3 linked regions of the Coturnix japonica genome follow. The protein of the gene in region 3 binds, or shares a complex with, the protein of the main gene of each other region. Links are inferred from orthologs where the notes say so. Each region holds a gene or a part of one and is shown on either strand. Other genes may lie near its edges.

Evidence for each region.
Region 1: the proteins of PTPN11 (region 3) and PDGFRB are in contact, whole or in part, in a crystal structure (PDB 1AYA), measured with the Mus musculus proteins. The link is inferred for Coturnix japonica from reciprocal best matches to the Homo sapiens genes PTPN11 and PDGFRB. Residues at the interface, in NP_001103462.1 of Mus musculus: Gly13, Val14, Glu17, Arg32, Pro33, Ser34, Lys35, Ser36, Thr42, Thr52, His53, Ile54, Lys55, Leu65, Gly68, Gln87, Leu88, Lys89, Glu90, Lys91, Gly93, Ile96; in NP_032835.2 of Mus musculus: Ser1005, Val1006, Leu1007, Tyr1008, Thr1009, Ala1010, Val1011, Gln1012, Pro1013.
Region 2: the proteins of PTPN11 (region 3) and GAB1 are in contact, whole or in part, in a crystal structure (PDB 4QSY), measured with the Homo sapiens proteins. The link is inferred for Coturnix japonica from reciprocal best matches to the Homo sapiens genes PTPN11 and GAB1. Residues at the interface, in NP_002825.3 of Homo sapiens: Gly13, Val14, Glu17, Arg32, Pro33, Ser34, Lys35, Ser36, Thr42, Arg47, Thr52, His53, Ile54, Lys55, Leu65, Gly67, Gly68, Tyr81, Gln87, Leu88, Lys89, Glu90, Lys91, Ile96; in NP_002030.2 of Homo sapiens: Lys623, Val625, Glu626, Tyr627, Leu628, Asp629, Leu630, Asp631, Leu632, Asp633.

Annotation. Positions count from the first base shown.
Region 1 is NC_029528.1:4,804,931-4,808,573, reverse strand, and holds part of PDGFRB (platelet-derived growth factor receptor beta), read left to right. Parts: intron 1-887; coding exon 888-1,010; intron 1,011-2,253; coding exon 2,254-2,365; intron 2,366-2,672; coding exon 2,673-2,772; intron 2,773-2,876; coding exon 2,877-2,982; intron 2,983-3,451; coding exon 3,452-3,643. UniProt on the Homo sapiens protein: Tyrosine-protein kinase that acts as a cell-surface receptor for homodimeric PDGFB and PDGFD and for heterodimers formed by PDGFA and PDGFB, and plays an essential role in the regulation of embryonic development, cell proliferation, survival, differentiation, chemotaxis and migration.
Region 2 is NC_029519.1:26,775,706-26,779,875, reverse strand, and holds the start of GAB1 (GRB2-associated-binding protein 1), read right to left. Parts: upstream 2,869-4,170; 5' UTR 2,551-2,868; coding exon 2,479-2,550; intron 1-2,478. UniProt on the Homo sapiens protein: Adapter protein that plays a role in intracellular signaling cascades triggered by activated receptor-type kinases. Plays a role in FGFR1 signaling. Probably involved in signaling by the epidermal growth factor receptor (EGFR) and the insulin receptor (INSR).
Region 3 is NC_029530.1:5,547,896-5,551,538, reverse strand, and holds part of PTPN11 (tyrosine-protein phosphatase non-receptor type 11), read right to left. Parts: intron 3,096-3,643; coding exon 2,903-3,095; intron 2,041-2,902; coding exon 1,924-2,040; intron 1,459-1,923; coding exon 1,345-1,458; intron 1-1,344. UniProt on the Homo sapiens protein: Acts downstream of various receptor and cytoplasmic protein tyrosine kinases to participate in the signal transduction from the cell surface to the nucleus. Positively regulates MAPK signal transduction pathway. Dephosphorylates GAB1, ARHGAP35 and EGFR.

The sequences.
Region 1 (3,643 bases), on a different chromosome or scaffold from region 3:
CCTGTGGTCACCTTCATCTCATTGTCCCTCTGTCCACACTGACCTCCTTGAGGGACAAGTGGCCATGCAGTGGAAGGGCTGCCAACCACTTTCCTTTGGAGATATAGCCCTGAGGATCAGTGTGATTGTACTTGCATGCCAGCTACCAACAGACCAAGTTTCACACCTCAGATTCCATGACTCTGAGCTCCTCCCAAGCCCTGTGCAGCACAGCTGTGGTGTTACGTCACCCTCCTTTACTGGGATGACCGGCTGCAAACAGATAGCCTTGCTGTGCTAAACAAAGGGCAGTCCAGAGCAAAGCTGCAACTCTCGTTGGACATTCACATTGCCCCACATGCTATAAGCTCCCAAAGCCTCTTAAGAAGTGCTTGTTCAGTGGTAATTAAGCCAATGGAGTGGACCAGGCTGTGGGGGATTCCTAAGATCTGGCTTAGCCTAGGATAGTCAGTAACATAGTCTCTCAATGAAACATCATGCAGGGCAGGGATGAGAGACAGGGTGGGGATTGTATGAATGACATGCAGAGAAAAATTCTGGCTCTTTGCCTCCAGCCAGCCAGTGTGATCTCCAAGAGTTACAGTCAGTGCTATCCCATGGAGCATAGAAGGGGAGCTCCAAATTTACACAATCTTACTTTGCAATAGGGTAACATTACTGTTCTAACTGTTAGTGTCTGGCAAACATAAGGCCCTTTCCAGTGTGTCTGTTTCAGTAAGCAACAAAAATAAGGTAGTCCTTCTAGTGGCTTTGAGCTATATAGGTCTATAAAGGTGAAGGAGATGACTCCTGTCCCTGCAGCAAAAGAAATGGGCTAGTGCTGAAGCTGGGCTTCTTCTCTGTGCCATTTGGGGCTGCTCCCAATGACAGTGCCCTGCCTCCTGCAGTGTGTGCATCGTGACCTGGCTGCCAGGAACGTCCTCATCTGTGAGGGGAAGCTGGTGAAGATCTGTGACTTTGGTCTGGCAAGAGATATCATGAGGGATTCCAACTACATCTCCAAAGGCAGCGTGAGTACCCGGAGCCACATCATCCCCTTCTCTGTAGGGCTCTGGGCCTGGCACCGTGCTCCCCTGCAAGCCCCCTGTCTGTTGCTGTGCCCAGAGGTGGTGACACAGCAGCATTCCCAGCTGATGGTGTCAACCATCACCAGCCAACCATCGTGCACTTGATGTCTGCATGGTGCTGAGCCTGGTCCTCAGCTGCAGGCAGGAGGAATGCAAAGTTAGGCAGCTTGGCAGCGGTGCAGTGAGTCACTGGCCACTCTGGGAAGATGTCCGCAGCCTTCTGCTGTAACCAGCAGACCACAGGGTAAGAGGAAGTGCTTTCCTGCAGGCAGCTACTTTCCAGAAAGGCATCTCCAGTCTTTTGAGGCAAGAGAGGATGGGGCTGTTATTGAGCTTACCTGTGCTTTCAACAGGAGTGTGTCTGCTCCAGCACTGAGGAGCTGGGGATGCACAAGCCTAAGCAGAGCAGGATGTGTAACTGGCTTCATTTGGCAGATAGGAAAACTGAGTCTGAGGGAGCTGAGAGTGGTGCCAGGCCCCTCAAAACTGTCTTTATCTACTCGATGAACTACTCAGCTTCCCCCCTGATTTGTCCCATTTGCATGGCATGGCAGCCAGATGTTGAGCATATTGGCCAGGGGACCTCTCTGCAGAGAGACTGTGATTTTCCAGTCCAGCCTTGATATGGCTTCTTTTCCTTATGAAACAAGAAATGAAACTGGGCCTCTTTGCAGTTCTTCCTGGAGATTATTTTGGTATTTGTTATGCAAGCGGATCTCTGGAACAGCACAGTCAGTGCTGCACACACTGATTGAGTGAGGCTCATTTTAGTGTATCGCCATGTGAGTAGGAACAGGAAAAGCTGAAGCTTCTGCTCTTTCCTGGTTGTCCCGTAGCCCACTCCAGCTTAGCCTTAGGTTTCCAGAGCGCAGATAGTTCTGGACTCCCTCTGGGAGTTCTGTGGTCATGCTGTGCAATCAGTGAACTCATCCCAAGGGCTGGGGAACAGAGATGCACACTGTGACAGCTCATTATAGCAGACAGGCTGTTCTGTATGATAGAAATGGATGTAGCACACCCGTTCTTCCCTCCTGCTTGCTGGGTTTGTCCTGCAGTAAGAAAGAGAAAATGGATCCCTCCAAGAAGTGTTGGTCAGCAGATATTTGGGGCTGTCAGGCAGCTCCAAGAGCTCCTCTCTGCTTGCAGATGCAGCTAACTCTCTTCTCATTGCAATTTTTCCTCACAGACCTTCTTGCCCCTTAAGTGGATGGCCCCAGAGAGCATTTTCAACAACCTCTACACCACCCTAAGTGATGTGTGGTCCTTTGGGATTCTTCTCTGGGAAATATTCACTCTAGGTAAGTGTCCTGGAGATCACGGTTGTGTCCACAGAAATGGTGGCACTTTAGCAGGATCCTTTCCTAAATGCAGAGGGTAGAAATCCATCCTAATCCCCAAGTCCCAACTCTACCAGCATCAGAGTAGCACTTCACTCAGTGTCTCCTTTTTTCCCATGCTGACGTGGCCACTTGGAAGCCAAATGAAACAGGAAAGGTAAATTGAAAAACAAAAAGCAAGCAGAGGAAACCTTGGTGTGAAAAGCATGTTGGTGTGGGGGTGGCAGGCTCTACATCAGCCTGATTCCCTGCTCTCCCTTTACTCCAGGAGGGACTCCCTACCCTGAACTGCCTATGAATGAACAGTTCTACAATGCCATCAAACGTGGCTATCGGATGTCCAAACCTACCCATGCTTCTGATGAAATGTAAGTGCTGCCTGCACGTGTTAACCCTGGGCCTGCTCTGCAGAAAGGACAGGAGCAGTTTTCCCTGATAAGTCACCAACGTGCCCTTTCTTCCATTTTGTTAGCTACGAAATCATGCAGAAGTGCTGGGAGGAGAAGTTTGAGATCAGACCGTCCTTCTCACAGCTGGTGGTGCTGATGGGAAACCTCTTGGTGGATTGCTACAGAAAGGTATGTGCAAAGGGTCAGTGCTCTTTGAAGGGATGCCACCTTGGTTTTACGGCATTGGATGAAGTTTTGGAGGCCCTGATTAATCATCATTAGCTGCTGAGCTGGAGCATTTTGCTGTGATTTGAGCTACATTCATTTAAACGGCCAGAGGAGGTGATTTGGGAATGCTGGGGATGTTGTGAGACAGCTGTCCTCATCAGGCAGCTGGTTTGTCAGCAATGGCAGAGATCAGAACTGGCTGAAGATCAGACGCCTGTTGCTGACTGATGCTTTGGAACCATGGAATTGTGCTGCTGATCACTCATATAGGAAACATTCACGATGTGTCTGTGGTGGAGTCAGGGTAGCTGAATGCAGCTAGATGTCAGCCCCTGGGGAAGGAAGCTTGGCAGTCAGGGAAAGCAAACACATCTGTGTGTTTTCTCCGCTCACAAGACCTTCCTGTTTTTCTGGTAACCTGCGAGAGCAGAGGTACCAGCAGGTGGATGAAGAGTTCATGAAGAGCGACCACCCTGCTGTTGTTCGCACAAGACCCACCATCCCCGGGTTGAACAACGCCAGGCTCCCTCCCAGCTCCCCCACCCTGTACACGGCCGTGCACCAGAACGGGGGAGAGAACGACTACATCATCCCTCTTCCTGACCCCAAGCCTGAGGCAATC
Region 2 (4,170 bases), on a different chromosome or scaffold from region 3:
CTCCAGGGAACCAACAACAGGTGCCAATGGATACTGGAAAGTTACTTCTGTACGCAGAACTCACGAATGGGACATTAAAATAGGACTCCTTTTAAGAGGGGGAAAGATATGCATGGCATTAAGTCACGCATCCGAGCAAATCTGATTTTTCCACCTGCAGGATAGTTTCCTTTCTTTTTTTAGCCTCCAAATGATTGTAAGCTTTAATACTGCATCCAACTATTTCAAACTAAAAATTGCAGTCCCTGCAAAACATATGTCTGTGCACTAGCTTCAAAGTGCTCCTTTCACCCTTCCTAAGAACTGGAGCCATATTTAACTGAAATTTCAGACTTTTTATCTTCCTTCACAGATGGTAACCTGGATTTGCCCCAACACTTGCATGCTAAAACTAATAGGGCGTGAAGTTACAATTTTCCATATATACATGTGAAAAGTATGCGTTGCAGAGAAACGGTTTCCTATTGAAATCACTTTCCCATCTTTTCTTCTGGTACAGCCTCTTGAACCATCACCAGGATAAAATATGGCTTTGAAAAATGCAGCTTTTCTGAGTCCCAGCACAAGCATAGAATTACAGAGAGCAGGAGCCAAAGCCTCAATCAGCACGCTCACTTAAAATTCACTCACGTTTGTCGACCTTTACTTTGCTTAAAGATGGCTGTTACTTTTATGCCTTTAAAGTGAACGTGAACCTTTAGCCCCACAGCTGATCAGGCACCACAGACAAGCAAGAGGAATTTCACTTCAAATCCTGCTTTCCCTCATACAGGAGAGTACAAGCAGAAATCAGCTGGCCACGATGTGCAACTTATGACCTTACGGCCTGCAGTGCATCCAGATGCTAAATCAAGCCCTGCTGATGTGAGCCTGGCATATGCTCACTCAACTCATACAGTGCATCCTCAAAAAGCACATCCCTTTTTCAGGTGAAAACAAATTATTTCTTTAGGACAGGTTGCTACTTGACAAAGAGTACTCAGTTCTTTCCCTCAAAGGTTCTGATGTTATTCTAATATGGAAGCAGAAAAACACCAGAAGGACAGTTAGATGGAAAAGAAGCTAACGTCTTTAGGAACTCACTTGTGTTGTCATTTTTTGACAGCAAATTCTTTCTTACACTTTCTTCCATAATTAATGAGACTGTACATGATTTGGGGCTCAAATTAACTCAAACTTGAGCAAAATGAAGTTTTCCCAACCACTACACAGTGGTACAGTGGCATCCTATGAGTATGAGTACACACACAGAGCAGCAGGCAAAAATGCAGCCCATGTCCAACCCACCAGGGAAGCTCAACCCTCCCATGTCCCATCAGGTCACGGTCTGCAGATCTGATCCCGCGTCCTCTGCATGAACAGGATTTCTGCCATTGGGAACTGGTGAATGGATTATTCCTCTGTTCTTGCAGAGTCCCATTTCACCAATTCCCTGGAATGTAAAAAAAACAAACAAAAAACACAAACCTCTACACAAAAGCAACAGCTCTTTTTTCAAGAAGCGATCGTTAATCACTAACAGATGAAAAACAGCGTGGTTACGCTCAGTTCCACACTACGAATCCTCAAATCAAGGCTTAGCTGTGTGAAAATACTGACAGTTGCAAAGGCCGCTTCTATTTCAATCCCATCCAACAGGACTGAGGAAAATAAAAATAACTAAAAAAAAGAGAGGGAGAGAGAGAGAAAGCCCCAGCATTTCGTTCCAATGACACAGATCCCGTGGAGCTGTGCCGGTGCCAATGGGAAAGGGGCAGGCGCGGAGGTTCCTGGCATCACCCGCACCTCCTACGTGACCCGCCAGCGGCCCGGCAGCACCCCGTGCCCCGGCCTCGCCGCTGCCCTGTCACCGAATGTGCCCTCTCAGCAGACACGCTCCATTTTCCAGCGAACTAAATGTCAGCTCCTCCGAAGCCGCCCCGCTAAAACATTTACTTCTGAGCGACAACGGGCAGATAGGAAAAGAAAAAGGCACACACACTTCGTGCAGCCTCCTCCCCCTTCGCTCCCCCCCCCCCTCCCTTCCCGATCTATAGAGCTCCGGTCCCAAGGGCAAAGGCTCCCGGCGGCGGGGAGGGCTCCGTGCAGGGCATCCCGGCGGCGGCACTCCCCGGCCGAGGGCGACCTTCCGCCGCCCCCCGCGCCGCCCCGGCCCCCCAGCAGCACCGGCGGCGGCCGGCGAGTGTTTACGTTTAAAATCCATCTACACGGAGCTCGGATCCACAGGGAAGAGGGGAAAAACTCCGCCCCCCTCCCGCTCCCGACTCTCTCGGAAAAGCGACCGAAGCGAGGCAGAAACACCCGAGGAAAAAAAGAAAAGATAAATAAAGAAGAAAGAAGAAAAAAGGAAAGCAGGGCCGGGAAAGCGGCGGGACGCCGGCGGGCGGAGGGCGCACCGTCCGGGCCCGGCGGGAGGCACCGCGACACGGAGGCCGGGCCGGGGGAACGGGAGAGCCGCGAGGGGAAGGGGGCACTCACGTAGCGCTTCAACTTCTTCTCCGGCGGTGACTTTCGGAGCCAGCCCGAGCAGACCACCTCCCCGCCGCTCATGGCTGGGCCGCCCGCCTCGTCCTCCTCCTTCTCCTCCTCCTCCTCCTCCGGCGGCGGTGGCCGGGCCGGGCCGAGGGAGCTCCGAGACGCGGTGGCAGCACCGCGCCCGCTCCGGCCTCCTGGGGCTGCGGGGCGAGGGAAGGGGCGGGAGGGAGGAGGGATGGGCGCGGGCTGTGTGTGTCTGTCTCTCGCGCACAACGAGCGGCCGGAGCGGAGAGCGAGCGGGGCCGGGGCGGGAGGCTCCCCCTTCCTCCTCCTCCTCCTCCCGCAGCCGCCGTCTCACACACACATCGGGAGAGCCGACACGGGCGGCCGCCGCCCCTCCGCCGCAACTCGAGCTCCGGCGTCCCGGGGCAGCCTCCGCCCGCCGCCCCGCCTCGCTGGCACCGCCCCACGCCGCGGGACCCTCCCGCCCCTCGCCCCGCTGCCTGGCGGGACGCTGCCTTCCTCCTCCCCCTGCGCCGGGAGAAGGAGGAGGGGGGGAACCGCGTCGTCGCTGCCTCCTTCGGCGGGGCGGGAGCGTCCGCCTCTCCCCCCTATTCCGCCGCGGGTCGGGTCTCCTTCCTCCCGGAGGGATCGGTCCCGGTCCTCGCGGCCCCCGCTCCCCAGCGGTGCCAGCACCTTCCCGCTCCGCCCGCGCCCAGCGCCGGCCCCGCGGGCGTCCCGAGCGGCGGCCACCCCGAAACTCGGCCGGAGCCTCTCGCACAACGGGGGCCGGGCGGGGCGGACACGCGCTTCCAGAGGCTGCTGGGAGCTGTAGTCGGATGCGCCGCTGGGAGGGAGCGGCCGCGGGGAATGCGGCGGCGCGGGGCGGGACGGGGGGAAAAAGACGGGGAAGAAGCGCAGCTCGGCTTTCCCGGCCCATCCGAGTCGCTTCTGGGTATGGTTTGGGCTGTGGGGGAGCGCGTCGGCTCCCGGCAGCGAAGGACGGCTGTGTGAGCGAGCGGCCATCTGAATAACAAAGCTGCGGCCGGAGCGGCTGTCAGCGCTGCGAAACGCCCCGCAACACGGCTCATTAGAGATGGGAAAAATAGGAGAAAGCTATAAAAAACTGCATTAGAAACACCTCGGCCAAAGTAAGCTCCTCTCTGCAAGTCTGGAGTTGCCTCGGCGGAAAAAAAAAAAGAGAAGAAAGAAAGAAAAGTAGAAGTTGGGCTGTGAGCGCCAGACGCTGCTGCCGATGTCGGCTCTGCGACCTGTGTGTGCGGCTGTGGGCACTGGGCTCCCCTTGGGCAGCGGGGGAAGTAAAAAGGCTGATGCGTTAAGGCAATCCCCAATGCCGTTCATTTAAAAGACTAAACTCATTCGAGTCCTTGCTAATAATGCTCTCCGCCAAAAATAACTAAAGAAATAAGTTTCTACAAACAAAAATACGGGTCTGCTGGTTTGTTTCGGTTTGTTTTCCCGTATGATTTCCCTTTGGGAAAGGTCCCGCTGCCTGCGAGCAGCAGCGTTGTTCCACCGCAGAGAGCTAGTCCCCCTAGTGTGCCTTCGCTGCAGGAAGCGCTGCTGCTCGCTGGTTCAACGTGCGTTGTGTTGGATTGGCAGAAGATTGCACAGAAGAAGCGCTGTGATGCGTGGAGCTGGTGAAATGGACTGAGGTGGTAGTGCTAGGTTTAA
Region 3 (3,643 bases):
CTTTATATAATATTAACACTTTTGAGTCTCTGCAAAGTGAAACGCCAAGCAAAGAACCAAAAGCTGAACTTTGCTAGCAGGTTAAAACATGGAAATAATTGTGTTGAAACAAGCTTCAAACACCTTTACTTCACACATTTAATGGTTACTGCTTTGAGCATCCCTGAGGAAAGATCCACGAGCAGCAAAGACTTCTAGCAAGCTGGCTACAAGAGGTACACAATGCAACAATAAATCTGGTACAGGAGTCCTCACTTTCTCTGTGCCATTCAAACACAAAGCTCCCCAGTCACTTTCCAGAAGTGTTACAAAGACTGTCAACATTTCTGTCTGACACTTAACAGGACAAGAGGCACATTCTTCAATCTGCCTAAAGACAAGTAATTTACAGCTACCATCTGGACTGCCAAAGCACAACAGGGCATGAAGAGCTCCACAGACAGCCTGGAGATTGCCCCCTGCCTCCTCCCACCATGACTGGCAACCATGGCTTACCTGAGATGAATGAGAAAACATGGCATTAAAACTGCAGTGTTCAGGCTAAGAACAGCTCTGCAGTTCTTGCTCAAGGCCAGATAATAACATGAGAAAGAGGAGGAAATTCAATACACTGTTTATAATTACCACCCCTACCAGCTGCAATCTCACTATCCTACATTCCATCAAATTCATACAGAAATTTGTTATGTCTTTGTAAAACTCAATGGTTTTATTTTTCAACTCCCACTAGAAGTCTCAGTGCAGACTGCAGAGCTAATAAGCATGTCTGACCATAAATGAGTTTCTTCAAGAATGGCACTTTGCAAATCCATCACTTATCAAGATTCTCAAAATAGCACAGCCAAAATCAGACCCCTTATCAAAGATCTTGGATCATAAGACTTCCCAGTTTCCTGTTGCCATCTGCTGGTAGAGTTCTACAATTCACTATGAAGTGAGTGATACAAGTCTCTCCATTATAACGAAGTCACAACCAAAGCCATAGCCATTTTGGCTATGATCATCATATGTGCATGCAGTTTTTAAGTCAATCCAATTGTAAGAAAACTGTGAGGATGCAGCAGTCATAGAGACAAAAATAAAGGAAAGAATTTAATTAAAGGAAAGTAATTACCCCTCAGTTAGGAAAAAGTGCAAATGTTTGAATCATTTTATTAACAAACACAGGAATGGAACTGGTAGGTTTTAACACATTATGTGCGTGACACGGGAGAAGGAAGCAAAAGCTGGGATCTCAAGTAATGGAAGTAGAGCCAAGCTGTTGTGAGGAAGGTAGTAACAAACCTCTTTGAGTACCATAGAGATTCAATACCATACCATAACACGGGAAATACAATGAAGTACCTCAAATTCTTCCCAGAAGCCCTGCTTGACTTTATCTGTAGTCTCTGCTAGCTTGCTTAGCTCTCGTACTCTGCTTTCAATCTCTGCAGCGTTAATACGGGTGGTATTTAGGGGCTAGGAAAGAAAATAAAACGGTGACAACTGAAAAGACAGTTAAAAAAACACAAATTCCTGACACTAATGTAGGCAATTCTAAGATCCAGGACTTCACTGTTTATACATCTAGTGGCAGTGAGGGAAGAGAGGAAGGAAGTACGGAACAAATGCTTTTGGATAAAGTTTCACAGTTGTTCTTAATAACTTGTCTCATTTGTGAGCTAGTCTTGCAATCCCTATAGATCATAATGAACTTACAAGAAGTTCCACGCAATTACAAAGTCTGTTCTTCACCAGCAGCAATAAATTATTCCAATTTAGGCTTGCATGACTTTACCAGTTTTTCATGAAGTTTCCTTCTTCACTGTCATATTTCAAAAGGAAAGTTACGTTGTCACTCAGAACACAAGGACAAGCCCACTCTTCCCCAACAATATGCATTGAAATTAATAAAATCCAGTGGTGTTTTCTCCATTCACTCACCTGCTTAAGTTGCAATACTGTGCCCAAGGTTTCTACCATAGGGTTCTTCTTATAATGCTCCACTAGATCTGTCAGAGAGTCAAACTTCTCCCCTCCACCAACATCATATTTTAGATCCTTAAGAACAGATTGTCAGTCAGCAAAATAAACTTCATCAAATCAAGTCTGCACTGATACAATATTTAGGCTATACAACATAAGAGAAATTCTCTTTCAAACTACACATAGAAAAAAAATCCAGTAAAACTCTTCTGCTGGTAGATGGCAGACAACAAGAAACACATTACGGAGGACAACATCCTCTTTTCTGTCTCTAAACTGTTTCTGCATTTTAGTTTTTGTACAACTGTAGCAATCACAGTTTTACATAATTAAAACAAAAGTTGCAGATTTGAGTATTGAACAGCAAGCTATTGTTACGCACAAAAATATCTGAAGACTATAACTTAAATATATAAAGATGTAAATGATGGACCACTCTATATTTCAAGTGTTCTTTAGATCAAATACTCAGGCTTGTTTACACTATGTTGATCGCTCTCAGATGAGACTTTATGAAATGACAGGAGCAACAGACATGTGGATAGATCTCTGTCTGTCCAATTAGTCCTGTCTTTATATCATCCATACAGGAGACAGCAACACGCTTAAGAAGGTTCATGAACATTAAAAGCTCCATCAGCAAAAGGCTTTAAGACAGACTTCTGATGCAATCAAAAGCAAGTCTATTAAAAGGCACTTGACAGCACAGCATAGGAGGACACAATTCAGTCTGGCAAGCAATCAAGAAACAACACTAATAATTTTGAAGCCATCCAATTAGTCCATTTGATCAACCAGATGATGTATATCACACATTTGGTACCACAGGGAAAAGTGGAAATACATTCATGTTTCTAGTGCAGTGCAGAAAGGCCCTCTTGTAAGAATAAGCCCTCTCCCCTTAGAAGCAATACTGTTAGCTCCTGCTTCATCATACCTGGCAGTGAATCATGACATGTGTCACTTTAGATTTCCCATCATTACTCTCTCCTTTATCATCTCCTGTCCGGACAGAAAGAACAAAGTCCCCAGGGTGGCTTTGACTCTCACGCACGAGAAAGCTTCCATGTTTTCCTTTTTCTGTTAATAGTTTTTCAGCTTCTCTTCCAGAGAGATGCCCATGAAACCACCTTTAAATAAAAATAGACAGCACCCTAATAGTCATTCCAGCCATGGTTGAATCCACTTGGTGTAAAAAGTTATTACAAAGTAAAACACTATATTATACACTGAATGAGTCCTGGTCTACAGAAAGGTTCATAGTTTATTATAAATTCTTGGAAGTGTACGTGTATATAAACACGAGCAATTGCAGAAACACTTCAAAGCAGGCATTTCCACAAGCCCTGAAATTTGCATCTTATGCAAGCTTCAAACAAAGCTTTCACTTGGATCCTGTACAGCAGTACAGATGAATTCCCTGATGTCCAATAAATACAAGTTCTTACAGCAACTTTCTCCTCAGCAGTGGCATTTACTCTTGGTCTGTTACCTTTATGAGGGTACACTTTCCCAGTAACGCTCTAGGAACTTAACACCTTTGAGACCACACTCTCCCATCACATTAGGAACTGAGCAGGATAAATCACATAAAGGCAATAATTCTCCCCACAGCCATTAAATACAGGCCACACTGAGGCACGAGAGAGCTTGTTTAATATTTTCTGTTTTTTTCCCC